4 linked regions of the Anolis sagrei genome follow. The protein of the gene in region 1 interacts with the protein of each later gene in a pairwise test. Links are inferred from orthologs where the notes say so. Each region holds a gene or a part of one and is shown on either strand. Other genes may lie near its edges.

Region 1 (7,056 bases):
ACAGAGCCACCCAGCTCCAGATGAGATTCTGGAGATCGTTGACCAATATCAGTGTTCAGAAAACTCTGGTTTTCCAGTGCTGCCATTCCTATGCTTAAATATGGGATTCTAGAAATGGTTAATATACAGTATACGAGAGTGTTCCCAACTTTTGTCTTCCAGGTGTTTTGGATTTCAAATATTTATTTATTTATCGTGTCATCAGCAACCATTGTTTTACAATTCTAACAGAGCAAAACAAACACAGAGATTAAAATGAAAAAGAAAAGAAAAAAGAAAAAAAAACCACACAGATTTTGTAAATTTGGTATTTGGTTAAATGTCCTTTGACCAGTATCAAATATGTTTTGGTGCTTAATTTGTAAAATCATAATGTAATTTGACACTTAATAAGCTTTTGCTTGATCCCTCCATATTATCCAACATTTTCGCTTATCCAACGTTCTGCCGGTCCGTTTATGTTGGATAAGTGAGACTCTACTGTATATCAAATACCATCTGGTCCAATCCATCAAACACTGTTTTGTTTGATCTGTCTTAAATCTGTCTTAAATTTTTGCCTGTGTGAGTTCTTTAGCTTGACATTTTGCATATCTAAAGAAGGTAATGCCCTGTTTATTGCCCTGCTTCTCTCCTTAGGATTCAGTTTGATGAATGTTTTCTTTGTTCTGTTTATGTGAGCCTTTTCCTGTGTATGTGTGCGAGTTTCTCATGGCTAAATTCTTCTAACATTGAAGAAACTGAGTTTATTTATCTAGCCCTTTTTTTCTATACTAAGTGCAAGGACCAGGCTGTGGCACAGCTAGTTAGTAGCCAGCTGCATTAAATCACTACTGAATGAGAAGTCATGAGGTCGAAGCCAGCCTGGGTCAGAGTAAGCTCCCGACCATTAATAGTCTAGCTTGTTGTTGACCAATGTAGCCTAAAAGACAGTTGCATCTGTCAAGTAGGAAATTTGGGTACTGCTTTATGAGGGGAGGCTAATTCAACTAATTTACGATGCCATAAAATCTTCCAGCAGTGTGCAGAATAATGAGGAAGTACTTCATCAAAGGACTCAGTGTCACAAGTGGACGGTGAAGTGGCAGCTCCCCTGTGGCTGGAACCGAGCATACCCTCATGAAGCCAGAAAAGCTGGAAATGTTAAATTGCCTCTGTGTCTGTCTATTTATGTTTATTATTATTATTATTATTATTATTATTATTATTATTATTATTAAACTTTATTTATACCCCTCCACCATCTCCCCAATGGGGACTCGGTCCAGCTTACATGAGGCCAAGCCCAGAAATGCATTACAACAAAATAAAGCCAAAAACAAACAAACAAACAAACAAACATCACAATAAAACAAATAAAACATAAAAATACAATAAAATAATACAAAAATACAGTAATAGATAAATCACAATCACAGTGAGTGGGCCATATGTACAAGTTAAAATGATAAAAACTCAGGATGAGATAGAAATTAAATGCAAATAATTGTGAAGGAGAAACTCATTGGAAAATGGAGTAATGGAGACAGACCTTCAAACAGGCAGGGGGAAGTACAGTGTGGGGACAGACATTATGGGGGAGCAAACAAAAGGAGATGTAGGGTCACTCTCCAAAAGCGCAGCAGAAAAGCCAGGTTTTGAGATCCTTCTTGAAGGCTGCCTAATCTTACCCAGAGTAGTGGGGCCACGGAGGAGATGGCTCTCTCCGTCATTCCCATAAGCCAGGCCTGTGAGAGAGGAAGGGCGAAAGGAGGGCCTCTCCCGAAGATCAAAGAGAGCGGGCTGGTTTGTGGAAGGAGGTAGGTGGGTTCCAAACTGTTTAGGGCTTTATAGGTGATCACCTGTACCTTAAATTGGGACCGGAAAATAAACGGCAGCCAATGGAGCTCCTTAATGGCATTAGAATCATAGAGTTGGAAGAGACCTCATGGGCTATGGTCCAACCCCCTGCCAAAAAGCAGGAAAACTGCATTCAAAGCACCCCTGACAGATGGCCATCCAGCCTGTTTAAAAGCCTCCAAATAAGGAGCCTCCACCACACTCCAGGGCAGAGAGTTCCACTGCTGAACGGCTCTCACAGGAAGTTCTTCCTCATGTTCAGATGGAATCTCCTCTCTTGCAGTTTGAAGCCATTGTTCCATGTCCTAGTCTCCAGGGAAGCAGAAAACAAGCTTGCTCCCTCCTCCCTGTGACTTCCTCTCACATATTTATACATGGCTATCATATCTCCTCTCAGCCTTCTCTTCTTCAGGCTAAACATGCCCAGCTCTTTAAGCCGCTCCTCACAGGGCTTGTTCCTCAGAACCTTGATCATTTTAGTCGCCCTCCTCTGGACACATTCCAGCTTGTCAATATCTCCCTTCAATTGTGGTGCCCAGAATTGGACACAATATTCCAGGTGTGGTCTAACCAAGGCAGAACAGGAGCATAGTGTCTAGATCCAGGGAAGTCATGATACACCCCTTAGCATGACTTCCCTGGATCTAGACACTATGCTCCTATTGATGCAGGCCAAAATCCCATTGGCATTGGATGTTTGCCATGTATATGTGCATTGCATTCCATCTTGAGTCCCCTGTGGGGTGAGAAGGATGAAATATAAATACTGTAAATAAATAAATATACTATTGCTATTTATTAATCAAATTAAATTAGATTCAAATGAGGTCCTCGTCCTTGTCCCCTTCACTCAGGCCCGTAGCCAGGATTTCGATTCGGGGGGGGGGGGGGCTGAGTTTGTTTCGGGGGGGGGGCTGAGTCTGAGTGAAAGAGGGTCTACCCTAGCAAACCTTTTGTATAGTTACTCCAATACCCCCATGCATATGGGATATATTGAGCATGGTGATCAGATCATGATATGAATAAACATAACAGTTTAAATAATGCACGAGTAAGGCCTTTTCGCGAACCACCATGAGAATTTCGGGGAGGGGGGGTGTGAAGCCCCTCAAGCCCTGGCTACATGCCTGCCTTCACTACAACTCTCATGATTTCAATGGATTGATCCATAGCAATTAAATTGGAGTGAAACTACACTTCTTCCACTGTGTAGACCAGGGGTCCTCAAACTAAGGCCAGGGGCCAGATACAGCCCTCCAAGGTCATTTACCCGGCACTGGCTTAGGGTCAACCTAAGTCTGAAATGACTTGAAAGCACACAACAACACCAATCCTATCTCATCAGCCAAAAGCAGGTCCACACTTCCCGATGAAATACTAATAAGTTTATATTTGTTAAAATTGTTCTTCATTTTAATTATTGTATTGTTTTTTAAGTGTTTTTTGTATTACAAATAAGATATGTGCAGTGTGCATAGGAAAGCATGAATGCTTTTTTCAAATTATAATCCAGCAGCTTGAGGGACTGTGACCTGGACCTCTGTTTAAAAAGTTTGAGGACCCCTACTGTAAATAAATATACTATTGATTAATCAAATTAATCAATTGATTAATTGATTAATCAAATTAATTGAGGTTCAAATGAAATCCTCGTCCTTGTCCCCTTCACTACAATTCTCATGTTTTCAATGGATGGAGCCATAGCAATTAAATTGGGAGTGAAACTACGCTTATTCCACTGTGTAGACGCTCCTCAAGTGGTTTCTAAACGTGACACGTCGTGCTGTGTTGTTGTTTGTGCCCCTTATTCTCTTTGACTACAAACAGCCAGGGTCGGGTTACATAATCGGCACAGCTTCCTTCCCTCTTCGAATCTCTCTCCTGGCTCTTTAAAAGAACGAGAAAAACACCGTCCAGAAGCGAAAGGGGGGAGGTGGTTAAAAGCGTCCCCTTCCGGCTTCCATCCACGTGTCCTCTTCCTCAGCCTGCCGGGAAGCAGAGCCCTTCCTCTTTCGCTCAGGAACTCCGTTTCCTATCAGCGACCGCTGAGCCAAGGCGCATGCGCGCGCGGCGGCATCCAACGCCCGCCCCCGCCCAAGAGGCTCTCGGGAAGGGTAGTTCAGAGCGGCGTGCTCTCGCGGGCGCTGTGCTGGCGGAAGGACTTCATCCCCCGGCATGCTTTGCTGAGTCGTTGGATGTATCTGTGGTAAAAGAAGGGAGAAAAAAAGAGGGGGGGCATTCGTCACGTGCGGCGCGAGGTGCGTGTTCCGTTGATGCTGGTGAGGGAAGAGGAGGAGACGACGACGACGACGGAGGAAGAGGAAGGAGGAGGAGAAGAGACGGCGACGCTGTTGCTGCCAGGGGCCTGTTGTCGTCGCCGACGCCGTCGCTGTCGCTGCTCCTCTCCGCGGCGGCTCGGCCCAGCAAGGCCCCGGAGGAGACCCCGCCGCCGCCGCCACCACCACCGCCACCGTGGGCAGCATGAGCGACAACGATGACATCGAGGTGGAGAGCGACGTGAGTTTCCACCGTCCCGCAGAGAGGCTGCTGACAGTAGTGGCGCCTCGGCCCCTCTCTCGTTCGCCCTGCCTCACAGCCAAAGGTTCAGTCTGCGCGACGCCTCTCTGCCTTCCCTTCGCTTCAATGGGGCCCCTCAGGAAGGGAGAAGCCCCCCCCCAGTAGGCCCCCCGGGGTGAGGGAGGGAGGGAGGGCCTGCTCGCCCCCGGAAGTAGTAAAGGGGAGGGAGGCGGGGTCAGTTGTGTCTGGGAGGAAGGAGGTTGGAATCGAGGTAGGCCTGGGACGTGTTTGGGTAACTGGTGGGAGAGGGGAGGGGGATGAGGAGGGAAGGAGTTGGGGGGAGTTACGATGGGGAGTTGGGGACAGTGGGCAGCTGGATTCGAAGTCTTGTGCCTTTCTAAATACTCCTAGGATTTGGGATTTTGAGTACATGTTTGGCTAGACGTGGGTGGGATTATGTACAGTGGCATAGTAAGAAAATGGCAAAATAAAGGTTTGAAATTGGAATACTGTTCAGTATGCGTTGGCTGGGGGTGGGTGGGTAAGAGGAAAGGAGATGGGAAGGATGTTGCATTGTGCATTTTGTTTGTGTTTAATTTTTTTAAAAAATTGTTTTATATTGGTCTGGTGTATTATTCTTGGGCTTCTCCTCATGTTACCCACCCCGAGTCCCCATTGGGGAGATGCTGGCAGGTGTAAATAATATTTTATTTATTTATTTATTTGGTAGTTTTGTATACCGGTCTTCTCACCTCCATTCGAGGGACTCGGGGCCATTTCCAACATCAATATTACAGACCGCCATTAAAACATAATATTTCTAAATCACACTAAAACATTAAAATATTGAAACAATTAAAATGACAAAAATACAATCATATGATTACAGTGGTTAGTCGTCATCAAAGTCATTATTCGTCGTCATCCATCCATATCACAGGATCACGGCTCATTCATTGAATGCCAATCCCCAAAGCCAGGTTTTCACCTGTTTCCTGAGTGTTAAGATCGAAGGGGCAGTTCTGATCTCCAGTGGAAGGGAGTTCCAGAGTCAAGGGGCCAACACCGAGAAGGCCCTGTCTCTCGTCCCCACCAGCCGCGCCTGTGAGGCCGGTGGGATCGAGAGCAGTGCCCCTCCAGAAGATCTTAGTAATCTTGATAGCTCATAGGGGAGGATTCGTTCGGACAGGTAAATTGGGCCGTATAAAACTTTTATACCCCAGTCTTCTCAACCTCTACAGAGGGACTTGGGCCGGCTTACAGCATAAATTAGTACACAAATACAATTAAAAACATAATCACATCAAAAAGTTAAATACAACAGAATAAATTCACAAACCAAGTCGCCAAGATAAAATAAAATAAACTTTATTTCTATACCGTCGTATCTCCCCGAGGGGACTCAGGGCGGTTTACAACAGAAGATTGGCAAACATTCAATGCCGGCATAACATAAACAAATCAAATCAAATCATAAACAATAAAATAAACAACATCAGGTGTACTTATAGAACAACTCAAAAATAACAAACTTAGATATTTAAATATATAAATCAAACATTTAGAACATGTTTACTACTAGATCTAATGATAGCAAACACTCAAACATTATAAGTAAAAAAGGCATTTACAAGTCAACAGGGCTGAGGTGGTGTCCAAGTCAGAGTGATTAAGGTGCTGGCCAGGGCTGAGGTGGTGTCCAAGTCAGAGTGATTAAGGTGCTGGCCAAAGAAAACTCTTATTATTAATGAGATGGAGGGGATTGATAAGGGGGGTGGCTCTTCTGGACTCTTGGGCCAGTTCTTAAACACGCTTCTGGAATGAGCTTCGTGTATTCCAAGTAGACTGGAACGTACTTAGTCCAAATCTTTTTGATACTGGTTTTAAACCACTTAATTGGATGTGTTGCAATAGCAGATTTCCAGGTTAGTTTAGTGTTTACACCTTATTTTATTTTCTGGTTATTTAATGTTTATTTTGCTTAAGTGATATTTGTCTTTACTGTTCTAATGTAGCTCAAATCCTATATAAAATCATAGTATGTATTTTTGACATTAATATTGAAATCTGAAATATATACAGAAAGTGTTGTCTCTTTGCAAGTACAGTGGAGTCTTGATTATCCAACCTTCGCTCATCCAAAGTTCTGTATTATCCAATACAGTCTGCCTGTTTCAATACATTGCAATGTTTTGGTGCTAAATTCATAAATACAGTAATTACTACCTAACGTTACCATGTATTAAACTGCTTTTTCTGTCATTTGTTGTAAAACATGATGTTTTGGTGCTTAATTTATAAAATCATAGCACAATTTGATGTTTAATAGGCTTTTTCTTAATCCCTCCATATTATCCAACATTATCCAGTGTTCTGTCATCCCGTTTGTGTTGGATAAGCAGATTCTACGATCCTTTATTTACCAGCTGCTGTCCGTTGAACAATTTGAAGCTTCTTGGTAATTTTTGGGATTTGGTTCCAGGACTCTCATTGATACCAATATCTGTGAATGCTCATATTCCATTATATAGAGTAAGATTGTATTATCGTGGTTCTTAAGTAAAAATACTTTATTTCTAACCTGCCCTCTCTCCTGGGGGGGACAGGACTCAGGGTGGTTAGTAACAAAAATGGCAGACATTCACTGCCTAAAACAGACAAACAACAAGTCAAGACAAAAATAATAAATAAAACAATCTC
Region 2 (7,449 bases), on another chromosome or scaffold:
AGAAAGAGGAGGGGAGATAAGAGAGAGAAAGACAGAGAAGGGGGAGCGAGAGAAAGAAAGACACAATGAGAAGGGGAAATAGAGAGAATGACGGGGAAGAGAAACATAGAGAAAGAGAAGAGAAGGAGAAAGAGTAGTGAGAGGAGGACAACTGCAAGGCTGACCCAGATATGTATATATCTATTGCCACTACATCACCTACTTGAATGAAATGAGGTGACCAGTTTAACCTGATTAGCCCTACTCTGGCCAAGTCCTCTAGAAAAGAAGCCAGAAACCTAACAACAACAACTGGCTTCTCTTTCCTTCCACTGGCTCCCTGGTCTACCTGGCGATGACTCCTTTGCCTACGTGACTGACTTAATAAGGAAATAAAGGAACAGGGTGGTGGTGCTGAAGATAAACCTGTCCTCCATTCACTTGGCTTCTCTTCCTTAAGGGAGGAGGAAGGTACACACCAAAAGTCACCCTTAAAAAACAAAACAAAAAGTCTGGTTGGGGCAAAGAACTGGCTGGACCAGCAAGCCTGCCTTCTCCACATCCACCCCTTGATGCCAGCCAGGCCTTGCTTTGCCCCCTTGCAAAAACTCAAATGAGAGAAAGGAGGAGGAAGACTTAAAAATAAAACCACCTTTATTGAAGTCTTGGCCTTGCGCTCCATACCATCCACCCGCAAACAATACCCAGAGCGAGCCACTTCTTCATGGAAATATAAATAAATAAATAAATAAAAGAAGGCAAGCCAGCAACAAAGGCGAAGCAGCGGAGTTGGACTGCAATGGAAAAAATCTGCGCTGGGGAGCGAAACAGAAGGGGGAGCCTTGCTTTTTCCTATACGGAACCCCTTTCTATTCTTCTAAACCCAAGGAGATAGAAACAAAAACAATCTGAAGCATGCAAACAATGAAGTTGAAAACCAAGGAAGTTAGATGTTGAAATAAACAGACCAGGTTAAGATAATACCTGGCTTTCTTAGAGGGAGGAGGAAGGGAGACAGAAAGGGGAATCCTTATTTTTCTTCCTATAATGATCCCATTTCAACCTAAGAAACCAAAACACAGTCTGAAGCATGCAAACAATGAAGTTAAAGACCAAGGAAGTTAGATATTGAAATAAACAGACCAGGTTAAGATGATACCTGGCTTTTCTTGGGGGGGGGGGGGGGAGAGAAGGAGAGGGAGACAGAAGGGGGAATCCTTATTTTTCTTTCTATCATGATCCCATTTCCCAGCTTTTCAACCTGAGATACCAAAACACAGTTTGAAGCATGTAAACAATGAAGTTAAAGACCAAGGAAGTGAGATGCTTTATAAAATAGGCTGGGAAAATGCTTGGATTTGGGGGGGGGGGGGGACAGAAGAGGGGCTCTTTAAAAAAAAAATAAGGACCCCCCTATGGAACAATTAGAACCACTGTAAGGGCCTGTCTTTCTTTCTTTCTTTTCTGCCTTCCCTTCTTCCTTTTCTCTTTTTCCTCCTGACCTTCGGGGTGATTAAACTGGCTGCATCCACTGAGTCCCGGCTTGTTATTGTTCTCGACAGACGCTGCAAAACGAGCCATTCTCGGCGGATTATTCTTTTTCGCTGACGGCAACATGAGCCAAAAAAAAGGAAGGGGGGAGGAGAAAAAAAAGAAAGGGGAGAGAGCAATATTTGGCTAAGATTTCCCCCCACAAAGGGGGGCAAAAGGGGGAGATCCTATCCGTGCCTGTCTATCTCGTCCCCCCTTTTGTTCCATTTCACTGGATTTTCTCCTCTTAAGCTCGCAAAGGGAGGGGGAGGCGAGTTGACCAATATAAACAAGCCTTTTTTCCTCCCTTCCTTTAAATATATATATTGGATTTCCCTTTGCAAAGAGTCATAAAGTTTGTTTTGCATTCCCTGCTCCAGATCCCCCCCCCCTCCCGTTGCCTAGTTTGGTCAGTTTCCTGGCATTTCTTGACATATTAAGTGCCTCCTTTGAAGAGCAAAACATGTCATAAAAATCCTATGAAGACATGGAGAGAGAAAAAAAAGGGGAAGAGGGTGTTTTTGTTTCCAAGAGAGGTTTCCCTAAATGGATCATTCTCACTCTCCCTTCCCCCCTTCTTTAAATGGTGCATTCTTTGTGTTGTCGAAGGCTTTCATGGCCGGAATCACTAGGTTGCTGTAAGTTTTCCGGGCTGTATGGCCATGTTCCAGAAGCATTCTCTCCTGACGTTTCGCCTGCATCTGTGGCAGGCATAGCCTGCCACAGATGCAGGCGAAACGTCCGGAGAGAATGCTTCTGGAACATGGCCATACAGCCCGGAAAACTTACAGCAGCCCAGTGCATTCTTTCTTTCTGCTGGACCTGAAACTAGCCACAGTTTAATCTGGCTCAATTGGTTCAGTCTTGTTGCATATTTTCATATTTCCACCTCCTGTTGTCACTGGATAGAGTGATGTTCTGACTGATTTTCCACCTTTATCACTTGTTATTGTTATTTTTTGTCCTCCTCTAAGAAGCAGCAGCAGCAGGCAGGCAGGCAGGCAGGGAGGAGCAGGAGCCCAAGCCCAACTCCACTTACTTTTGTTTTCCTTCTCGATCTGCTCCAGGTAGCTGGCTGCCTCCAGCAGGATCTGCACATTCTGGAGGAAAGTGTTGATCCGCTCCATGGAGTCCTTCTCCTCCTCCTCGCTGCTGGGGTGGTTGAAGATGTCACTCAAGGGCCACCTGGGCAGCGCCTCCGACCCCGAAGGCAGACCCGGAGCCTGGGGCGCAGGAGGAGGAAGAGGAAGAGGAGGAGGATGCCCCGCAACCACCACCACCGCAGCAGCAGCAGCAGCAGCCCCCTCGCCCCGCAGCTCCTTCCTCGGCCTGCCACGTTTCCCCATGTCGCTCCTGCGGGTGGAAACTTTGGGGTTTCTAAAGCCCTTTTGGCCGACTTTCCTCCTCTTGTTGCAGTTTGTGTGTGTGTGTGCTTGCGTGCGTGCGCGCGCCTGCCTGTGTGAGCCAGCCAGCGAGCCAGCCAGTGTGTATATGTCTAGGAGAGATTGAATGAATCAAGGGACCTCTTCATTCAAAGACTCCCCGCAGGTCCTAGTGCGAGCTGGGTTTCCCTTTCGCGCGGCTATCCGTAGGTCTATCTAGTCTCTCTCTCTCACACACATACACCTCTCTCTTTCATCTATTGGTCTACCTATCCCATTCTCTCTCTCATCTATCCATCTATCTATTCTCATACACACTCTCTTTCGTCTATCCCCATCTCTCTGTCAAACACACTTCTCTCTTTTATGCATTTGACAATCTCTCTCTCTCTCTCTCATATCCCTCTATTCCAGTGTTTCTCAGCCTAGGGGTCGGGACCCCTGAGGGGGTCGCGAAGGATGTCAGAGAGGTCGCCAAAGACCATCAGAAAACACAGTATTTTCTGGTGGTCATGGGGATTCCATATGGGAAGTTTGAGCCAATTCTATCGTTGGTGGAGTTCAGAATGTTCTTTGATTGTAATGAACTATAAATCCCAGCAGCTACAACTCCCAAAAGTCAAGGTCTATTTTCCCCAAGCTCCACCAGTGTTCACATTTGCGCATATTGAGTATTTGTGCCAAGTTTGGTCCAGATCCACAGTGCTCTCTGGATATAGGTGACCTACAACTCCCAAACTCAAGGTCAATACAAACCAAACCCTTCCAGTGTTTTCCATTGGTCATGGGAGTTCTGTGTGGCAAATTAGGTTCAAATCCATCGCTGGTGGAGTTCAGAATGCTCTTTGATTATAGGTGAACTATAAATCCCAGCAACTACAACTCCCAAATTACAAAATCAATCCTCCCCTAACCCCACTAGCATTTACATGTGGTTGCATTGGGTATTTGTGCCCAGTTTGGTCCAGTGAATGAAAATACATCTTGCATATCTGATATTTACATGATTTATAACAGTGGTAAAATGACTGTTATGAAGTAGCAACGAAAACAATATTATGGTTGGGGGTCACCACAACATGAGGGACTGTATTAAGGGGTCACGGCATTAGGAAGGTTGAGAACCACTGGTCTATTCCCATCTGTCTCTCTCTCTTACCTCTCTCTCTCTCTCTCTCTCTCTTTCATCAATTTGTCTATCTGGTCATTCTCTCTCTCAACTAATAGTCCAGTGGTTTCCCAACCTGTGGGTCCCCAGATATTTTTTGCCTTCAACTCCCAAAAATCCTAACAGCTGGTAAACTGGCTGGGATTTCTGGGAGTTGTAGGCCAAAACACGTGGGGATCCACAGGTTGAGAACCACTGTAATAGTCAATCCCATCTCTCTCTCATACACACACACACCTCCCCCTTCTTTCGTCTCTTTATCTATCCCCCCCCCCTCTCTCTCCCTCTCTCATCTATCTGTCTATTCCCATCTGTCTCTCTCACACACCTCTCTCTCTCTCTCTCTCTCTCTTTCATCTATTTCTCTCTCTCTGGCCATTCTCTCAACTATTAGTCTATCTATTCCCATCTCTCTCACACACACACACACTCATCTCTCTCATCAATTTGTCTATCTGGCCATTCTCTCTCTCAACTAATAGTCCCGTGGTTCTCAACCTGGGGTCCCCAGATGTTTTTAGCCTTCAACTCCCAGAAATCCTAACAGCTGGTACACTGGCTGGGATTTCTGGGAGTTGTAGGCCAAAACACCTGGGGACCCACAGGTTGAGAACCACTGTAATAGTAAATCTATTCCCATCTCTCTCTCATACACCCCCCCCCCTTCTTTCATCTGTTTATCTATCCCATTCTCTCTGTCTTCCATCTATCTATCCCCAACTCTCTCATACACACACTCTCTTTAATCTATCTTCATCTCTCTCTCAAACACACTTTTCTCTCTTTTATGTATTTGACAATCTGTCCCATTCTCTTTCTATCTCTCATCTACCTGTCTATTCCCATCTCTCTCATACACACACACACACCTACCTCTCTTTCATCTATTTGTTTATCTGGCCATTCTCTCTCTCAACTATTAGTCTATCTATTCCCATCTCTTTCTCATACACACACACCTCCTCCCCCCTTTCATCTATTTATCTATCCATCCCATTCTCTCTCTCTCTCTCTCTCTCTCTCTCTCTCTCATCTATGTATCCCCAACTCTCCCACACACACTCTCTTTTATCTATTCCCATCTCTCTCTCAAACACACTTCACTTTTATCTATTTAATAATCTATTCAATCCTCTCTCTCTCTCTCTCTTTCTCTCTCATCTATCCGTCTATTCCCATCTGTCTCTCATATACACACACACCCCTCTCTCTCTTTCATCTATTTGTCTATCTGGCCATTCTCTCTCTCAGCTATTAGTCAATCTATTCCCATCTCTCTCTCATACATACACACACACACCTCCCCCTTCTTTCATCTACTTATCTATCCAATTCTCTCTCTCTCTTCCATCTATCAATTGCCAACTCTCTCATACACACACTCTCTGTTTCATCTATCCCCCCCTCTCTCAAACACACTTCTCTCACTCTTATCTATTTGACAATCTATCCCATTCTCTATCTATCTATCTATCTATCTATCTATCTATCTATCTATCCCTCTATCCCTCTATTCCCATCTATCTCTCATACACCTCTCTCTCTCTCTCTCTCATTTATTTGTCTATCTGGCTATTCTCTCTCTCAACTATTAGTCTATCTATTCCCATCTCTCTCTCATACACACACACCTCCCTGCTTCTTTCATCTATTTATCTATCCCATTCTCTCTCTCTCTCTCTCATCTATCCATCTATCTATCCCCAAATCTCTCATACACACATTTTCTTTTTCATCTATTTGTCTATCTGGCCATTCTTTCACTCAACTTGACATAGCAAGGCATTTCTCTGCTTTATTTATTTATTTAAAGCATTTATATTCAGCCCTTCTCACCCCGAAGGGGACTCAGGGTGGAGCACAAAATATAAATGGCAAACATACAATGCTGAAACATATTAGACCATACACATACAAAAGCATTAAAATCACTTATCTTGATGTTAACATCCACTAGTCAAAACTGTCTCAACAACCATATGGAATATGGTTGGCATACTAAGGGTTCCTATCGCTGCCTCATTGCACAGTCCCAAAGGCTCGGTCCCACAGCCACGTTTTTATCATCCTTCTAAAGGACAAGAGGGAGAGGGCTGACCTGATCTCATTAGGAAGGGGGTTCCATAGCTGAGGGGCAATTACTGAGAAGGCCCTGTCTCTTGTCCTCGCCAAATGCGCCTGTGATGGTGGTGGGACTGAGAGCAGGGCTTCCCCAGAAGATCTTAATCTCTGTGGTGGTTCATAGAGGGAGATGCATTCGGACAGGTAAATTGGGCCAGGGCTGTTGAATATGGACTGTAAGTTTCTCGGTCGAAGGAATGTGTCAATATTGGGTGGATCTACACCATAGAATGAATGTAGTTTGACACCACCTGAACTGTCATGGCTCAATGTTGTGGGATTCTGGGAGTTGTGGATTCATGAGGCACCAGTACTCTTTGGCAGAGGAGGCTAATGATCTTGTAAATCTACAACTCCCAGGACTCTACCGATCTGCCTCAGTTAAAGTGGTGGCAAGCAGCATTCCTTCCATATTGTAAATGCACCCTTTTTCTCTGTCTCTCTCTGTGTAAAAAGCAGCATAGAATTGAAAGATTTTTTTTGCATTTTTCCTTTCCCCCCTTGTCTCCCTCTTTCTTTTTCTATCAAGATTAAGTAGATATTGTATCATTTGTGAAGGCCACTCAAACTATTATTTTTTAAAAGATAATAAAGCACTGCACTTCAGAACCCATTTGCAGTTGGCCTTTTGTGTCCGTGGATTCAGCCATTCACAGATTCAGTCATCCCTGGCTTATATTTTAATCATGGGTCCCTGTCTTTTAATACATGTGTTTTAATGATCTTATTATATTAATCTATGTATTATTGTATCCTGCCTCAAGCCTTGATGAAGGCTTGGAGGAGGAGGAGGAGGAAGAGGAGGAGGAGGAGGAAGAGGAAGAGGAAGAGGAAAACTTGAGCATCTATAGATTTTGGTATCTATGGGTTGTTCTGGAACTAAACTCCAACCAATAGTATGGGCCCACTGTATGCAGTTAAGCTGTTGCCATATTGCTTCCTTTTGAGCCAAAGTCTATTTATTTATTTACTTACTTACTTACAGCATTTATATTCCGCCCTTCTCACCCTGAAGGGAACTCAAGGCAGATCACAGAACACATACATGGCAAACATTCAATGCCGTTAAACAGATAGGACAGACAACAGATAGAGGTATGTTTTATGTTGACAATTTTCCCATCTTTGTTGTCCTGGAGGTTTTGCTCAATTCCAGCCACAGGGGGCGCTGTTGCTCCATCCTCTATAACAAAGAGCCTTGATCACAGACTTCTTCCTTTCGATTGCTGGCATTTTTCTGGTATTTATTTTATGGTGCTGTAAAATACC
Region 3 (7,773 bases), on another chromosome or scaffold:
AACCCAAGTGCAAATGTCAAGAGAAATTGTGGAAGTGAAGTTTCAAACCCTCGCGCGCACACACACACACACACACACACTGTATTATGAAGCTCCTCCTCTTCGGTTTTGTACACAATTTGAACAGGAGTAAGCTTCCAATAGTAAGCGAGGTGTGGCAAAATGGCAAGATATTGTGAAAGTGAAGGTTGCAATTCCTTCTTAAACACACACACACATATATACACACATGCACATATTATATATGCACACATATGAATCTCCTCCTTTTCAGTTTTGTACACAACCTTGACAGGAATAAAGCTTGCCAATAGTAAGCAAAGTGTGATGCATGTATGTGTGTGTATATATGTGTGTGTGTGTGTGTGACTGTGCATATTTGTGTGTAAATGAATCCTGTTCTCTACAGTTTTGTACACAACGTTGACAGGAATACAACTTCCCCGTAGTAAGCAAGGTGTGGCAAAATGGCAAGAGAAATTGCAGAAGTGAAGTTCGCAATCTCTTCTTTTCTCTCTCTCTCTCTATATATATAAAAAAATTATATACACAGAGGGACATCATATATGCACACATATGAATCTCCTCTTCAGTTTTCTACACAACTTTGACAAGGATAAAGCTTCCAGTAGTAAGCAAGGTATGGCAAAATGGCAAGAGAAAGTGCAAAGGTGAAGTTTGCAATCCTTTCTTCAATATATATATATATATATATATATATATAATACACACAAACACAGACATTATATATGCACACATATGAATCTCCGCTTCAGTTTTGTACACAACTCTGACAGGAATAAAGCTTCCCAATAGTAAGCAAAGCGTGATGCATGCATGTGTGTGTGTGTGTGTGTGTGTGTGTGTGTGTGTGTGTGTATATATATATATATATATATATGGGAGAGACTGTGCATATTTGTGTGTAAATGCATCCGTTCTCTATAGTTTTGTACACAACACTGACAGGAACACAACTTCCCAGTAGTAAGCAAAGTGATGCATGTGTGTGTGATTCTCTCTGTATGTGTGTATGTGTAAATGAATCCCCTTTTCTTCAGTTTTGTACACAATTTTGACAGGAATAACACTTCCAGTAGTAAGCAAAAAGATTCATTTCTGTGTGTGTGTGTGTGTGTGTGTGTGATTCTCTCTATATGTGTGTATGTATTCAGTTTTGTACACAACCTTGACAGGAATAAAGCTTCCAGTAGTAAGCAAAGTGTGGCAAAATGGCAAAAGAAAGTGCAAAAGTGAAGTTTGCAATCCTCTATTCTCTCTCTCCCTCTCTATCTATCTATCTATCTATCTATCTATCTATCTATCTATCTATCTATCTATAAATTATACACACAAACACAGAGACATTATTTATGTACACATATGAATCTCCGCTTCAGTTTTGTACACAACATTGACAGGAATAAAGCTTCCCAATAGTAAGCAAAGCATGATGCATGTATGTGTGTATATGTGTGTGTGTGTGTGTGTGTGACTGTGCATATTTGTGAGTATGCGAATCCCGTTCTCTACAGTTTTGTACACAACTTTGACAGGAATACAACTTCCCAATAGTAAGCAAAGTGATGCATTTGTGTGTGTGTGTGTATGTGTGTGTGTGATTCTCTCTATGTGTAAATGAATCCCCTTTTCTTCAGTTTTGTACACAACTTTGACAGGAATAAAGCTTCCAGTAGTAAGCAAAGTGTGGCAAAATGGCAAAGGAAAGTGCAAAAGTGAAGTTTGCAATCCTTTATTCTACATAAACAGAGACATTATTTATGTTTTGTACACAACCTTGACAGGAACACAACTTCCCAGTAGTAAGCAAAGTGATGCATTTGTGTGTGTGATTCTCTCTCTGTGTGTATGTGTAAATGAATCCCCTTTTCTTCAGTTTTGTCCACAACCTTGACAGGAATAATGCTTCCAGTAGTAAGCAAAGTGATGCATTTGTGTGTGTGTGTGATTCTCTCTCTGTGTGTATGTGTAAATGAATCCCCTTTTCTTCAGTTTTGTCCACAACCTTGACAGGAATAACGCTTCCAGTAGTAAGCAAAGTGATGCATTTGTGTGTGTGTGTGATTCTCTCTGTATGTGTGTATGTGTAAACGAATCCCCTTTCCTTCAGTTTTGTACACAACTCTGACAGGAACACAACTTCCCAGTAGTAAGCAAAGTGATTCATTTGCGTGTGTGTGATTCTCTCTCTGTATGTATGTGTAAATGAATCCCCTTTTCTTCAGTTTTGTACACAACATTGACAGGAACACAACTTCCCAGTAGTAAGCAAAGTGATGCATTTGTATGTGTGTGTGTGATTCTCTCTGTATGTGTGTATGTGTAAATGAATCCCCTTTTCTTCAGTTTTGTACACAACTTTGACAGAAATAACACTTCCAGTAGTAAGCAAGGTGTGGCAAAATGGCAAGAGAAATTGTGAAAGTGAAGTTTGCAATCCTTTCTTCAACACACACACACATTACATATATACACACAACTATCCGAATGCCTACTTGCTGGGGCTGTGCCTATTTGGGGGGGGGGGGGCATCCATCCCCTGAGGGCCAGGAGTTTCCCTCCCTCCCTCCTCAGTTTGTCACACTTTGGGAAACACACGCGGAAGTGGGCAAGAGTTCGGCCAAATTGTCGTCCAAGCAGCCGGCCCTCGACGGGCACGAAAGGAGCCGAGAGACCCGTCCTCCCCCCCCCCCCCCCGGGCCTCGCTTTCTCCTTTCTCCCCTCCCCTCCTCACGGGAAGAGATCCCCCGAGTGGCGGGATCCCATCCCAACATGGCCGCGGGTTCCCCGAGGAGGAGCGCGAGGCAAAGTTTCTCCTTCCTTCCCTCACTCCCTCTTCCCTCCCCAAAAAAAGCGGCGCCGAGAGGTTGCTTACGGAGAAGCCGATGGGCGCCCTCCTGCCCGGCTCCCTTTCCTCTCCTCTCGCTCCGTCGACGGCTGCTGCTACTGCTGGAAGTCCTGCTGCCCCGCCCGGAGAGGGAGAGAGAGAGGAGGAGGAGGAGGCGCCATCATCCCGCCCCAGGGAGAAGGAGGAGGAGGGGCCGCCGCCATCTTGGGAGGGAGGGAGGTAGGCCGCCCCCACGGTTTTCACCCTCAGAGCTCCTCTTTGGACGCCTCTACACCAGGCCTGAGCAAACTTGGGCCCTCTCTTCAGCTGTTTTGGACTCTCAACTCCCTCCATTCCTATTTATTTATTTATTTGCCTCATTTATTTCTTTATTTTCGACATTTATACGCCGCCCTTCTCACCCCGAAGGGGACTCACGGCAGCTTACAAGTTATATGTACCTATAATCTTCTCTATACAATCAGGCACTTCAATTCACTCTCAACAAGAGATTCCCCCCAGGCGCTTCCAGGCCATTGAATACAAATCAAGGTGCTCGTGATCCCACCAGCGTCGCAAGCGCGCTTGGTGGGGACGCGGGACAGGGCCTTTTCCGTGGTGGCCCCCCCCGACTCTGGAACACCCTCCCCAAAGACCTTAGACAGGCTCCTACATTGGCTGTCTTCAGAAAGAACTTGAAGACCTGGCTTTTCCAATGCACCTTCCCAGATTAGGAAATCTCCACTACCAAGTCCCATAAGCACTTTATCAGAACCAATGATTGCTGCACATCGCACATCGCACTTGCCCTGGAAGCCCTATATACACCTCCTGTCACATCAGCACTTTTAATCTTGTACCCATTGCTCTGGCCCGGCCCAGTTTTATTGTGTTTAGTGTATTGTGCCTGTTGTTTATTTTGCTTTATTCTGTTTTTAATTGTTTGATTTGCTTAGATTGTATTGTTGTGTTGTGTGTTGAGGCCTCGGCCTGTGTAAGCCACATCGAATCCTTCGGGAGATGCTATTTGAGAACACAGAAGTGCTGGACCACTCTCACAACCACCATGTCAGACTACACAGAGAAGCCTTTGATATCCACAAGCATGTGGACAATTTCAACAGAAATTGTCCACATGCTTGTACAAATAAAGTTTAATAATAATAATAATAATCAGCTGAAACATTACCCTGGTCATTCCACAGATATATAAACCCATTTTTCCTACTACCAACAGACCCCACTACCTCTGAGGATGCTTGCCATAGATGCAGGCGAAACGTCAGGAGAAAAATTGCCTCCAGAACATGGCCATATAGCCCAGAAAAACCTATAACAACCCAGTGATCCCGGCCATGAAAGCCTTCGACAATACAATCTTCTATATAAATAAAAATGTAATGTTCGTTTGTAAGATTAACATAACTCAAAAACCACTGGGCGAATTGACACCAAATTTGGACACAAGACACCTAACAACCCAATGTATGGCCTTCACTCAAAACTTTCTGATTTTGTCATTTGGGAGTTGTAGTTCTTGGGATTTATAGTTCACCTACAATCAAAGAGCATTCTGAACTCCACCAATGATGGAATTGGACCAAAGGTGACACACAGGACTCCCATGACCAACAGAAAAGACTAGAATGATTTGGTGGACATTGACCTTGAGTTTGGGAGTTGTAGTTCACCTACATCCAGAGAGCAGGTTCGAATCCGGGGAGAGGTGCATGAGCTCCCTCTATTAGCTCCAGCTCCTCTTGCGGGGATATGAGAGAAGGCTCCCACAAGGATGATAAAACATCAAAAATCATCCAGGCGTCCCCTGGGCAAGTCCTTGCCGACGGCCAATTCTCTCACAACAGGAGCGGTTGCTCCTAACACGACAAAAAAAATCCAGAGAGCACTGTGGACTCAAACAATGATGGATCTGAACCAAACTTGGCACAAGCACTCAATACGCCCAAATATGAGCACAGGTGGATTTGGGAAAAATAGACCTTGACATTTGGAAGTTGTAGTCACTGGGATTCACAGTTCACCTACAATCTAAGAGCATTCTGAACCCCACAAACAACAGATTTGGGGCTAACTTCCCGCACACAACCCCCATGACAACAGAAAATACTTAAGGCGATCCAATCCAACTCCCTTCATCAGGGCAAGAAAAGGTAATCAAAGTCCTCCTGACAAAGAGCCATCCAGGAATAGAGATAGATAGATAGATAGATAGATAGATAGATAGATAGATAGATAGATATGATTCACACACAGAGAGATATAGTATCATAGATTTGAAAGGGACCCCTAAAGAAGGACAGTTATAGTTGCATGTTTCAAAGTGGGCAAACCTGACACTCTTGACATCAACACTGACAAAGAAACAGCAAGAAATACTGTTAACCCACAAGCATAAAGAAATTACATATATTAGAAACCAACACTTTCTCATTACTTTATTTTCCAGATCACAGACTGAGCCACAGCAATGCGTGGCAGGGGACAGCTAGTAAGTTATATGTACCTACAATCTTCTATATAAATAAAAATGTAATGTTCGTTTGTGGAATTAACAAAACTCAAAAACCACTGGATGAATTGAGACCAAATTTGGACACAAGACACCTAACAACCCAATGTATGGCCTTCACTCAAAAAAAATTGTGTGTGTTGCAGTAGTCTATCTTTGATGTAACAAGAGCATGGCCAAGTCAGACTTCCCAAGGTACGGGTGCAACAAGTTTTAATTGTGCAAAAGCACCTCTGGCCACTGCCAAGTCCTGGAATTCCAGGCTCAACAATGAATCCAGGAAAACTCCCAAGCTACAAACCTTGGGCCTGAGGCTGTTAGGAATGGTGGGAGTCCGGAGTCCAAAACATCTAGCGGGAGGGCCCAAGTTTGCATTGAGCTACAGGTAACTATAAACAGCCTGTTAGCACTGAATGCTGTGTCATGGCTGCTAAACTTGAATTTTGACTTTCTTTTCCAATTGAATGTCCTCTATTTCTGTTCTTTGGACAGAATATTGTTCCTTCTGTTGCCAAAACAGAACCCAAGTACTGGAGAGCAAGCTGAGTGAGCAAGGTTTGGTGAGTGGCAAAGGGCCCTTTCACACAGCCCTATATCCCAGAATATAGGGCAAAAAAATCCCACAATATCTGCTTTGAACTGGGTTATCTGAGCCACCCTCACCCTCTGAGGATGCCTGCCATAGATGCAGGCGAAACGTCAGGAGAAATGCCTCTAGAACATGGCCATATAGCCCGAAAAAATCCACAAGAACTGAGTGTAAATTGATTGTTAATAGAGGGCCCTTCCACACAGCCTTTTAAACCAGTATCTGATCCCAGATTATCTGCTTTAAGATTAAATATATGAGTCCCCACTGCCAGATAACCTGGGATAAACAGATAATCTGGGATCAGATCCTGGGATAAAGGGGCAGTGTGGAAGGGCCCAGAGTTAGGGAGAAAATAGCTAATGGTACTAGGAAGCATCTGATAGATTTAATCTCCTTCCCCACTACCATCCTCTTCTCCTTTTGTGTCTTGTCCTATTTGTGGTAGATTGCCAGGAAAATTTTGTAAGTTGCTCTGAGACACTGGGGGCCCTTCCACACACCCATGTAACCCATAATATCAAGGCAGAAGATCCCACAACATCTGCTTTGAACTGGGTTATCTGAGTCCACACTGCCATATATTCTAGTTTAAAGCAGAAAATTGAATGTTATTCAGCTGTGTGAAAGGGCCCTTTGTGGTTGAAGAAGAGGATATAAATACTGGATGAATAGATTTAGATAAACAAAGAGATCCATAGCATGACAAATGGCCAACTAACTGGAATAGCCAGCAGAAATATTGTGCCTTTTCATTAGGTCCCAGTGTTTGAATTGTCCCTGTAGCACCCACAAACACACATCACACAGCCAGCAACCACAATGACAAGCCACACACGCGGAGTATGCCTTCAACCTCAAACCACTTTCAACTCATTCAGAACCAGAGCGGCATACTGCCATATATGGACTGCTCACAGAATACATCTCTAATAACAGTACATTTTAAGAATACAGATTTTTGGAGATGACTGTGTTGGGTTTGACACGTGAATAATACAGCCATTATTTCTTTAAGTGTTGGTGAACAGCAGTATCTCTTTAATCATTCTTTTAGACTTTATGGCATTGAACCTGAGCAAGGCTTCCTTTATTTCCATGCGACCAATCATTTAGACATGCTCCCTTCAGTGCGTCCAATCCCATTTACACGTCTCAGTTGAGCCCCTTATAAACACATATCACTTCCCTTTGGCCTTTTCCCTAAAATGGTTGTAAAGTTCATCCTTGAGAAATGCACATTCCTGTCTCCTCGTGTATAGTTTATTTAAAAGTCTGTTTCTTTGACAAATGTGCAGTTTCATACTATAGTATACATTTACCTTTTTTTTACGATGGTTATAAACAGTAGTTATGATGTTTATCACCACTGTGTTCCTTGTCAATATATCAAGTTGTTTCAAAAATTGCATTTTTGCTTTTTTTTTTTTGCTTCTGTTAAAATGCACCCTTGCATTGTGTCAAGACAGTATTTTTATGCAAGGCAATCTATTTCATAAGAAACATCAATGCTTAACTTTCCAGCTTAATATCTGACTAAACCAGATGTCATCATGAGTATTATTAACAAGCTCGGTTCTCCAAGTGTTTTTCCTTATGTAACCAAAACGTCACCATCCAAGTATAAGAGTAAGGTGGCAGTTTGCTTGGGAGAAAGCCAAAGTTTGCAAAGGTAGAAAAATATTTAGAAGTGGCAAATAGAGGACCTAAAGGAGCAAAAAGAAATCCCAAAAGAGTATAATTAAAACCGAGCGTGAAATGGTGGGTGATGGGATAAAAAACAGGAAGTGAGGAAAATGAAATAAA
Region 4 (7,267 bases), on another chromosome or scaffold:
GTTCAGGTGCTATCTCTCTCCAGCCTTGAAACTGGTACGGGAGAACTCTGCTGTTGTCAGCAATTCTCAGTAACAGCTGATGGAATCCATGACAAGAGCAGAGAACAGCATTAGCTGGGCTTCTCCAGAACCAAAACAGAGAAACAAGAAAGAGCAGAGATTTCCCCCTTGGGGAACCCCAGCCATGATGCTTCTGTCATCACAGTGCAACGAAACTATGCGTAATTAAGTATCTACCTTAAGCCGACTAAGGGGCATATCCTTCTAGTGCTGCATGTTGAGTCCTTGCACAATACCCTCTAATTCTAGCTGTTGCACAGGTCTGCACTAGCACAGCCCCACCCTCTTCTCCATGAGGCAATGCCTCGTGCCCCTCCCTTCCCCACAGAAGAGCCACCTTTTGTTTCTTGTCCAGATCCTTCTCTTCGTTGTCAAGCAGCAACTTGAACATCTGTTCCACTTTGGAGTCGGTGCAGGACATGTTTCTCATCTGAGACAAAGTGAATAGAGGCGCTTGGCTTCCTCTGTCCGGCTTCAAGCCTCTCTAGGGACTGTGGGGAAGGAGGCCAGCCCCAATTTGGGGAGTCCCTGCACCTTGGGCAAGGCCAGGGAGGGCTGGCTGTGGAGAGGGACTCCTTTGGGGCCACAGGGTGTTGCTTGTTTCCTGCAGCAGCAGCCACCACCTTGTTCACCCGCCCACTCCTACCTTCTCCTGCATGCTGCTGCCAAGGCTGCGCAGGGCCTCCTGGAAGGCCTTGTTCCGGGGCTCCAGGCTGATGCAGCGCTGCAGGTCCTGGATGGCCTGGTCTGGGCGGCCCAGCTGCTGGAGGGCCTGGCTGCGGCGGAAGAGGCTCTTAACATCCCGCCCATCCACTTTGAGGGCTAGAGAAATGGAAAGAATTGCAGAATAACAGAATCAGGGGATCCCGCGGGTCATCTATTCTCAATAATAATAGCCATAGTAATAATGAATATGGATAGTTCAGTGGTTCTCAATCTATGGGTCCCCAGATGTTTTGGCCTTCAACTCCCAGAAACTCTAACTGCTGGTAAACTGGCTGGGATTTCTGGGAGTTGTAGGCCAAAACACCTGGGGATCTACAGGTTTGTTTTTTTTTCTTGGGGTTGTCAGAAGCAACTTGAGAAACTACAAGACGCCTCTGGTGTGAGAGAATTGGCCGTCTGCAAGGACATTGCCCAGGGGACACCCAGATGTTTTGATGTTTTTACCATTCTTGTGGGAGGCTTCTCTCATGTCCCCACATGAGGAGCTGGAGCTGATAGAGGGAGCTCATCTGCGCTCTCCCAGGATTCGAACCTGTGACCTCTCGGTCTTCAGTCCTGCCAGCACATGGGTTTAACCAACTGTGCCACCGGGGGCTCTTTACCTAAAGGTTGAGAACCACTGGTGTAGTTGGAAGAAGTCCAAAACACTTGGAGGGCCCAAGGTAGTCCAGGCCTTGTTTAGACATCCCTTTCTGAAAGTCCTCCCCAGTTGCACATTCGAGGCAAATTGGAACTCGCTTTCCCAGCAGCACTTCGTGCTACACAAGTATTGAAGGAGCCTTGTGTTCCCTCCCGGGGCATGATGGGAGTTGAACGTTTTCCCTGTGTGTGTTTCTCATTTTCTTTCTCCGCCAATCAGAGGTCTGGCTTAAGCAGCTGAGGGGGAAAAAGAAAGGGCCTGAGGCTGTTAGGAATTGTGGGAGTTAGAGTCCAAAACACTTGGAGGGAGGGCTGATGCTTGCCCATGCCTGGACTACATGGCATTTGGGGCCCCCTCCTAACTTTGCTTCCGCTTCCCTGCAGCGAGGTCCTGGCAGATGAGTCGGTGGCCTGCCTGAGCCAGGCCTTGAGGCACCTGCATGACATCTGGGAGGAGATCGGCATCTCCGAGGAGCAGCGCCTGGAGCGCACCCAGGTGGTCCGGAAGCACGTCAAGGTGGGCAGAGCCAAGCGGATGGGGAATCAAATAATTGCAAATGGCATGGATACTTATTGGATGATAGGCTACAGGGTGATATCATTGAAAGGAGAACCACATACACTCACGGATCTGGTAAGGACCATGAGCCTATGTATGTATGAAGAGAGATATTGACAAGCTGGAATGTGTCCAGAGGAGGAGGACTGAAATGCTCAAGGGTCTGGAGAACAAGCCCTATGAGGAGCGGCTTAAAGAGATGGGCATGTTTAGCCTGAAGAAGAGAAGGCTGAGAGGAGACATGATAGCCCTGTATAAATATGTGAGAGGAAGTCATAGGGAGGAGGGAGCAAGCTTGTTTTCTGCTGCCCTGAAGACTAGGATGTGGAATAATGGCTTCAAACTACAAGAAAAGAGATTCCATCTGAACACGAGAAATAACTTCCTGACTGTGGGAGCCATTCAGCAGTGGAACTCTCTGCTCCGGAGCGTGATGGAGGCTCTTTCTTTGGAAGCTTTGAAACAGAGGCTGGATGGCCATCTGTCGGGGATGCTTTGAATGCAATATTCCTGCTTCTTGGCAGAATGGGGTTGGACTGGATGGCCCATGAGGTCCCTTCCGACTCTATGATTCTACGTTGGCCCATGCCTGAACTATAGAATCCTAGAGCCATTGCCCCACCCGGCCAGCCAGCCTCTTGGGCTCCTTACCTTCGGAGGCATCCAGCTCGGCTTGGGCATAGTCCTCCTGCGAGAGAAAGGGGGAGAGAGAGGGTGAGGAGGCAGGCCCCGCTTAAGGCCCCGTCTCCCCCACTCTGCGCCCTCCCCATTTCGGGCCCTGACCAGCTTGAGCGCGCAGGCGGCACGGTTCCGGTGTAAGAGGCCCTTCTCGGCGCGTTCCTCCAGGCTGCAGAGGCCGAGGGCGCGGGTGTACACGGCCAGGGCCTCCTCGAAGCGCCCAGCCTGGTAGAGCACATTCCCTTCGCGGCGAAGCTCCGAAGAGGCAGTGGAAGCCTCAGCTGTCTCCGCCATGGCGCGCTCAGGTGACGTCAGGGTAGACCGCCCTGATGTCTTACCTTGTCGCCTTCCACTCTCACGTCACTTCCGGTCTGGAGTAGGGCGCAGCAGCGGATGCGGAAGAAAAGTTGTCTGGCGCGGGCTTGGAGGCGGAAGCGGAAGTTGCGTCGGGTGTGACAGAAGTGGAGCCCGTCGAGGGCCATGAGCGCCAGGAGGAGGACGCCGTAGAGCCCCGCCGCCAGCGCTGGGGGAGCAGGGAGGGCCCTTCCGCTAAGGAAGAAAGGGAAGGAGAGGCCTTAGTCAGGCGGAGCGGAAGAAGGGAGGACCCATTGTATTGTCGAAGGCTTTCATGGCTGGAATCACTCGGTTCTTGTGGTTTTTTTCGGACTATAGGGCCATGTTCTAGAGGCATTTCTCCTGACGTTTCGCCTGCATCTATGGCAAGCATCCTCAGAGGTAGTGAGGTCTGTTGGAAATAGGAAAATGGGTTTATATATCTGTGGAATGGCTGGGGTGGGGCAAGGAGCTCTTCCCTGCTGGAGCTAGGTGTGAGTGTTTCAACTGACCACCTGTTTGGGTATCAGCCAGCACGCCAACGACTTAAATCTAGACATAGTTTTCTAAGATCTACAGAGACACTCGCTAGAAGACCTCAGCAAGCGAGAGTCCAAAAGTGGCAGGCTCAAACCCAGAACCTCAACCAATGGCTGATACCAAATGAGAGACTCGCTCCTGGGCATACAGAAGACTGGGTGACTTGGAAGGCATTAAACAGACTGCACTCTGGCACCACGAGATGCAGAGCCAACCTTCAGAAATGGGGCTACAAAGTAGAATCCTCGACATGCGAGTGTGGAAAAGAGCAAACCACTGACCACCTGCTGCAATGCAACCCGAGCCCTGCCACATGCACAATGGAGGACCTTCTTGCAGCAACACTGGAAGCACTCCAAGTGGCCAGATACTGGTCAAAGGACATTTAACCAGCTACCAAACTCACAAGTTGTGTATTTTTCTGTTAGTTTGCTTTGTCCTGTTAGAAGTGTAATATAATGGACTGGCTGCTCTGACACGGCAAATAAATAACTGACCACCTTCATTAGCATTTGAAGGCCTGGCTGAGCCTGAGAAAATCTTTTGTTGAGAGGTGTTAAGATGTGCCTGGTTGTTTCCTCTCTGCTGTTTTGCTGCTGTAATTTTAGAGTTTTTAAATACTGGTAGCCAGATTTTGTTCATTTTCATGGTCTCTTCCTTTCTGTTGAAATTGTCCACATGCTTGTGGATTTCAATGGCTTCTCTGTGTAGCCTGACATGGTGGTTGTTAGAATGGTCCAGCATTTCTGTGTTCTCAAATAATATGCTGTGCCCAGGCTGGTTCATCAGGTGCTCTGCTATGGCTGACTTCTCTGGTTGAAGTAGTCTGCAGTGCTTTTCCTTGATTCATGTTTGGGCAATGCTGCGTTTGGTGGTCCCTATGTAGACTTGTCCACAGCTGCATGGTATACGGTAGACTCCTGCTGAAGTGAGAGGATCCCTCTTGTCCTTTGCTGAACGTAGCATTTGTTGGATTTTCTTGGTGGGTTTGTAGATTGTTTGTATGTTGTGTTTACCCATTACTCTGTACCCATTACTCTGGCCTGGCCCAGTTTTATTGTGTCTTAGTGTATTGTTTATTGCTTGTTGTTTATATTGCTTTAATTGTTTTGAATTTGCCTTTGGTTTGTATTGTTGTATTGTTTGTTGAGGCCTTGGCCTTTGTAAGCCGCATCGAGTCCTTCGGGAGATGAAAGCGGGGTACAAATAAAGTTTAATAATAATAATAATAAAAGGGAGAGGCAGCCCCGACTCTCCTCCTCACTCACCGGAAGAAGAACCTCCCTGAGCGGTTGGCAGCCCCTTCCTCTTCCTCCTCCTCTTTGGGATCCGGGCGCGCACAGCAGGAGCGGAAGCGGAGAGGAGCCCCCACATCCTGGGTCCCCCGGCAACAGAAGGCGTGTCCTGGGGGGTCGGAGAGGCGCGGGCAGAAGAAGGCGGCGTGGGGGCGGCCCTCGGGATCCTGGAAGGACTCGCACAGGCTCCCCTCCTGGGCCCCCACTGAAGGAAGGGAGGGAGAAGGAAGAAGGTTGGGAAGGAAGACATGCACAATGGGTGACGCTTGGCTTCACAACAGTCCCTGCGAAATCACTGGGTTGTTGTAGGTTTTTCCGGGCTATATGGCCATGTTCTAGAGGCATTCTCTCCTGACGTTTCGCCTGCATCTATGGCAAGCATCTTCCAGAGGATGCTTGCCATAGAAGTCTTCATGGACCGCAAGTTGAACATGAGCCAATAGTGTGATGCAGCATTTTAAACACACAATGAGATTTTGGACTGCGTCAAAGGAGTTATAGAATCAGAGAGTTAGAAGAGACCTCATGGGCCATCCAGTCCAACCCCATTCTTCCAAGAAAAAGGAATATTGCATTCAAATCACCCCTGACAGATGGCCATCCAGCCTCTGCTTAAAAGCTTCCAAAGAAGGATCCTCCACCACACTCCAGGGCAGAGAGAACAGCTCTCACAGTCAGGAAGTTCTTCCTCATGTTCAGATGGAGTCTCCTCTCTTGTAGTTTGAAGCCATTGTTCCGCGTCCTAGTCTCCAAGGAAGCAGAAAACAAGCTTGCTCCATCCTCCCTGAGGCTTCCTCTCACATATTTATACATGGCTATCATATCTCCTCTCATATCTCCTTCTCTTCTTCAGGCTAAACATGCCCAGCTCCTTAAGCCGCTCCTCATTGGGCTTGTTCTCCAGACCTTTGACCATTTTAGTCGCCCTCCTCTGGACACATTCCAGTTTGTCAATATCTCTCTTGAATTGTGGTGCCCAGAATTAGGTGTGGTTAGGTGTGGTCTAACCAAAGCGGAATAGAGCATGGGGAGCATGACTTCCCTAGATCTAGACACTATGCTCCTATTGATGCAGACGAAATCCCATTGGCTTTTTTGCCGCCACATCACATTGTTGGCTCATGTTTAACGTGCTGTCCACGAGGATTCCAAGTTGTTTTTCACATGTACTGCTCTCAAGCCAGGCATTGTCCCCCATTCTGTATCTTTGCATTTCATTTTTTCTGCCTAAGTGGAGTATCTTGCATTTGTCCCTGTTGAACTTCATTTTGTTAGTTTTGGCCCATCTCTCTAATCTGTCAAGATCGTTTTGAATCCTGCTCCTGTCCTCTGGAGTATTGGCTATACCTCCCAATTTGGTGTCTAGTGTCTAGATCAGGCATGGACAAAGGACCAGGCTGTAGTGCAGCTAGATATTAGCCAGCTGCTTCAAATCGCTACTGACTGAGAGGTCACGAGTTCAAAGCCAGCCCAGGTCAGAGTAGTAGTAGAAATAATAATAACACTTTCTTTATATTCGGCTCTTCTCACCTCGAAGGGGACTCAAGGCGGATCACAGTACACATACATGGCAAACATTCAATGCCGCTTTGTATAGACCAGGGGTTCTCAAACTTTTTAAACAGAGGGCCAAGTCACAGTCCCTCAAACTGTTGGAGGGCCGGATTATAATTTGGAAAAAATATGAATAAATTCCTGTGCACACTACACATACCTTATTTGTAGTGCAAAAATACTTAAAACAATACAATAATTAAAATGAAGAACAGTTTTAACAATTATAAACTTACTAGTATTTTAATGGGAAGTGTGGGCCTGCTTTTGGCTGATGAGATAGGATTGTTGTTGTTGCTGTGTGCTTTCAAGTCGTTTCAGACTTGGGTTGACCCTGAGCGAGGGCCAGGTAAATGACCTTGGAGGGCCGTATCTGCCCCCAGGCCTTAGTTTGAGGACCCCTGGTATAGACAATACACAGAACAGAAGAAGGTGCCATGGAAGGTTGGGCTCAAGTCCAGGGGGTGCTGTTGCTCATTCCTCTATGACTTCCTCCTTCCTTTTGGTCGCCCAGTATTTTCTGATCTTTTTTCTTTATGGCGTCATATTTACCTATTTATCCGTACTTAATTTCTCTAATCACAGCTAAAGCTGTTTTCGAATTGCTTAGGTAAACAATGAGCTAGGTTGACAGTTGGCAGCTCACACCAACCCAGGGTTTTGAACTTGCAACCTTTTGATTGATAGATCTTATAATTGCTGACTTACCAGCTGTGCTAGACCTCCAGCCCAACTATAAGCTCCCAACTATTAATTGTCTAGCTTGCTGTCAACAATAGCTCCCAACTATTAATAGTCTAGCCAGTAGACTGTTAGGAATTGTGGGAATTGAAGTCCAAAACACTTGTGGGCCCCAAATTTGCCCAGGCATGGTCTAGATCGA

What was found.
Region 2: the proteins of MAX (region 1) and MXI1 interact in binary tests that used the Homo sapiens proteins (3 or more experiments, as listed by UniProt). The link is inferred for Anolis sagrei from reciprocal best matches to the Homo sapiens genes MAX and MXI1.
Region 3: the proteins of MAX (region 1) and PLEKHF2 interact in binary tests that used the Homo sapiens proteins (3 or more experiments, as listed by UniProt). The two-hybrid records come from large-scale screens. The link is inferred for Anolis sagrei from reciprocal best matches to the Homo sapiens genes MAX and PLEKHF2.
Region 4: the proteins of MAX (region 1) and UNC45A interact in binary tests that used the Homo sapiens proteins (3 or more experiments, as listed by UniProt). The two-hybrid records come from large-scale screens. The link is inferred for Anolis sagrei from reciprocal best matches to the Homo sapiens genes MAX and UNC45A.

The regions. Positions count from the first base shown.
Region 1 is NC_090021.1:232,298,963-232,306,018, reverse strand, and holds the start of MAX (protein max), read left to right. Parts: upstream 1-4,041; 5' UTR 4,042-4,320; coding exon 4,321-4,356; intron 4,357-7,056. UniProt on the Homo sapiens protein: Transcription regulator. Forms a sequence-specific DNA-binding protein complex with MYC or MAD which recognizes the core sequence 5'-CAC[GA]TG-3'. The MYC:MAX complex is a transcriptional activator, whereas the MAD:MAX complex is a repressor.
Region 2 is NC_090023.1:210,017,251-210,024,699, forward strand, and holds the start of MXI1 (max-interacting protein 1), read right to left. Parts: upstream 3,021-7,449; 5' UTR 2,856-3,020; coding exon 2,549-2,855; intron 1-2,548. UniProt on the Homo sapiens protein: Transcriptional repressor. MXI1 binds with MAX to form a sequence-specific DNA-binding protein complex which recognizes the core sequence 5'-CAC[GA]TG-3'. MXI1 thus antagonizes MYC transcriptional activity by competing for MAX.
Region 3 is NC_090024.1:33,460,232-33,468,004, forward strand, and holds the start of PLEKHF2 (pleckstrin homology domain-containing family F member 2), read right to left. Parts: upstream 3,021-7,773; 5' UTR 2,897-3,020; intron 1-2,896. UniProt on the Homo sapiens protein: May play a role in early endosome fusion upstream of RAB5, hence regulating receptor trafficking and fluid-phase transport. Enhances cellular sensitivity to TNF-induced apoptosis.
Region 4 is NC_090029.1:22,659,878-22,667,144, reverse strand, and holds the start of UNC45A (protein unc-45 homolog A), read right to left. Parts: upstream 3,020-7,267; 5' UTR 2,957-3,019; coding exon 2,768-2,956; intron 2,673-2,767; coding exon 2,636-2,672; intron 883-2,635; coding exon 707-882; intron 491-706; coding exon 398-490; intron 1-397.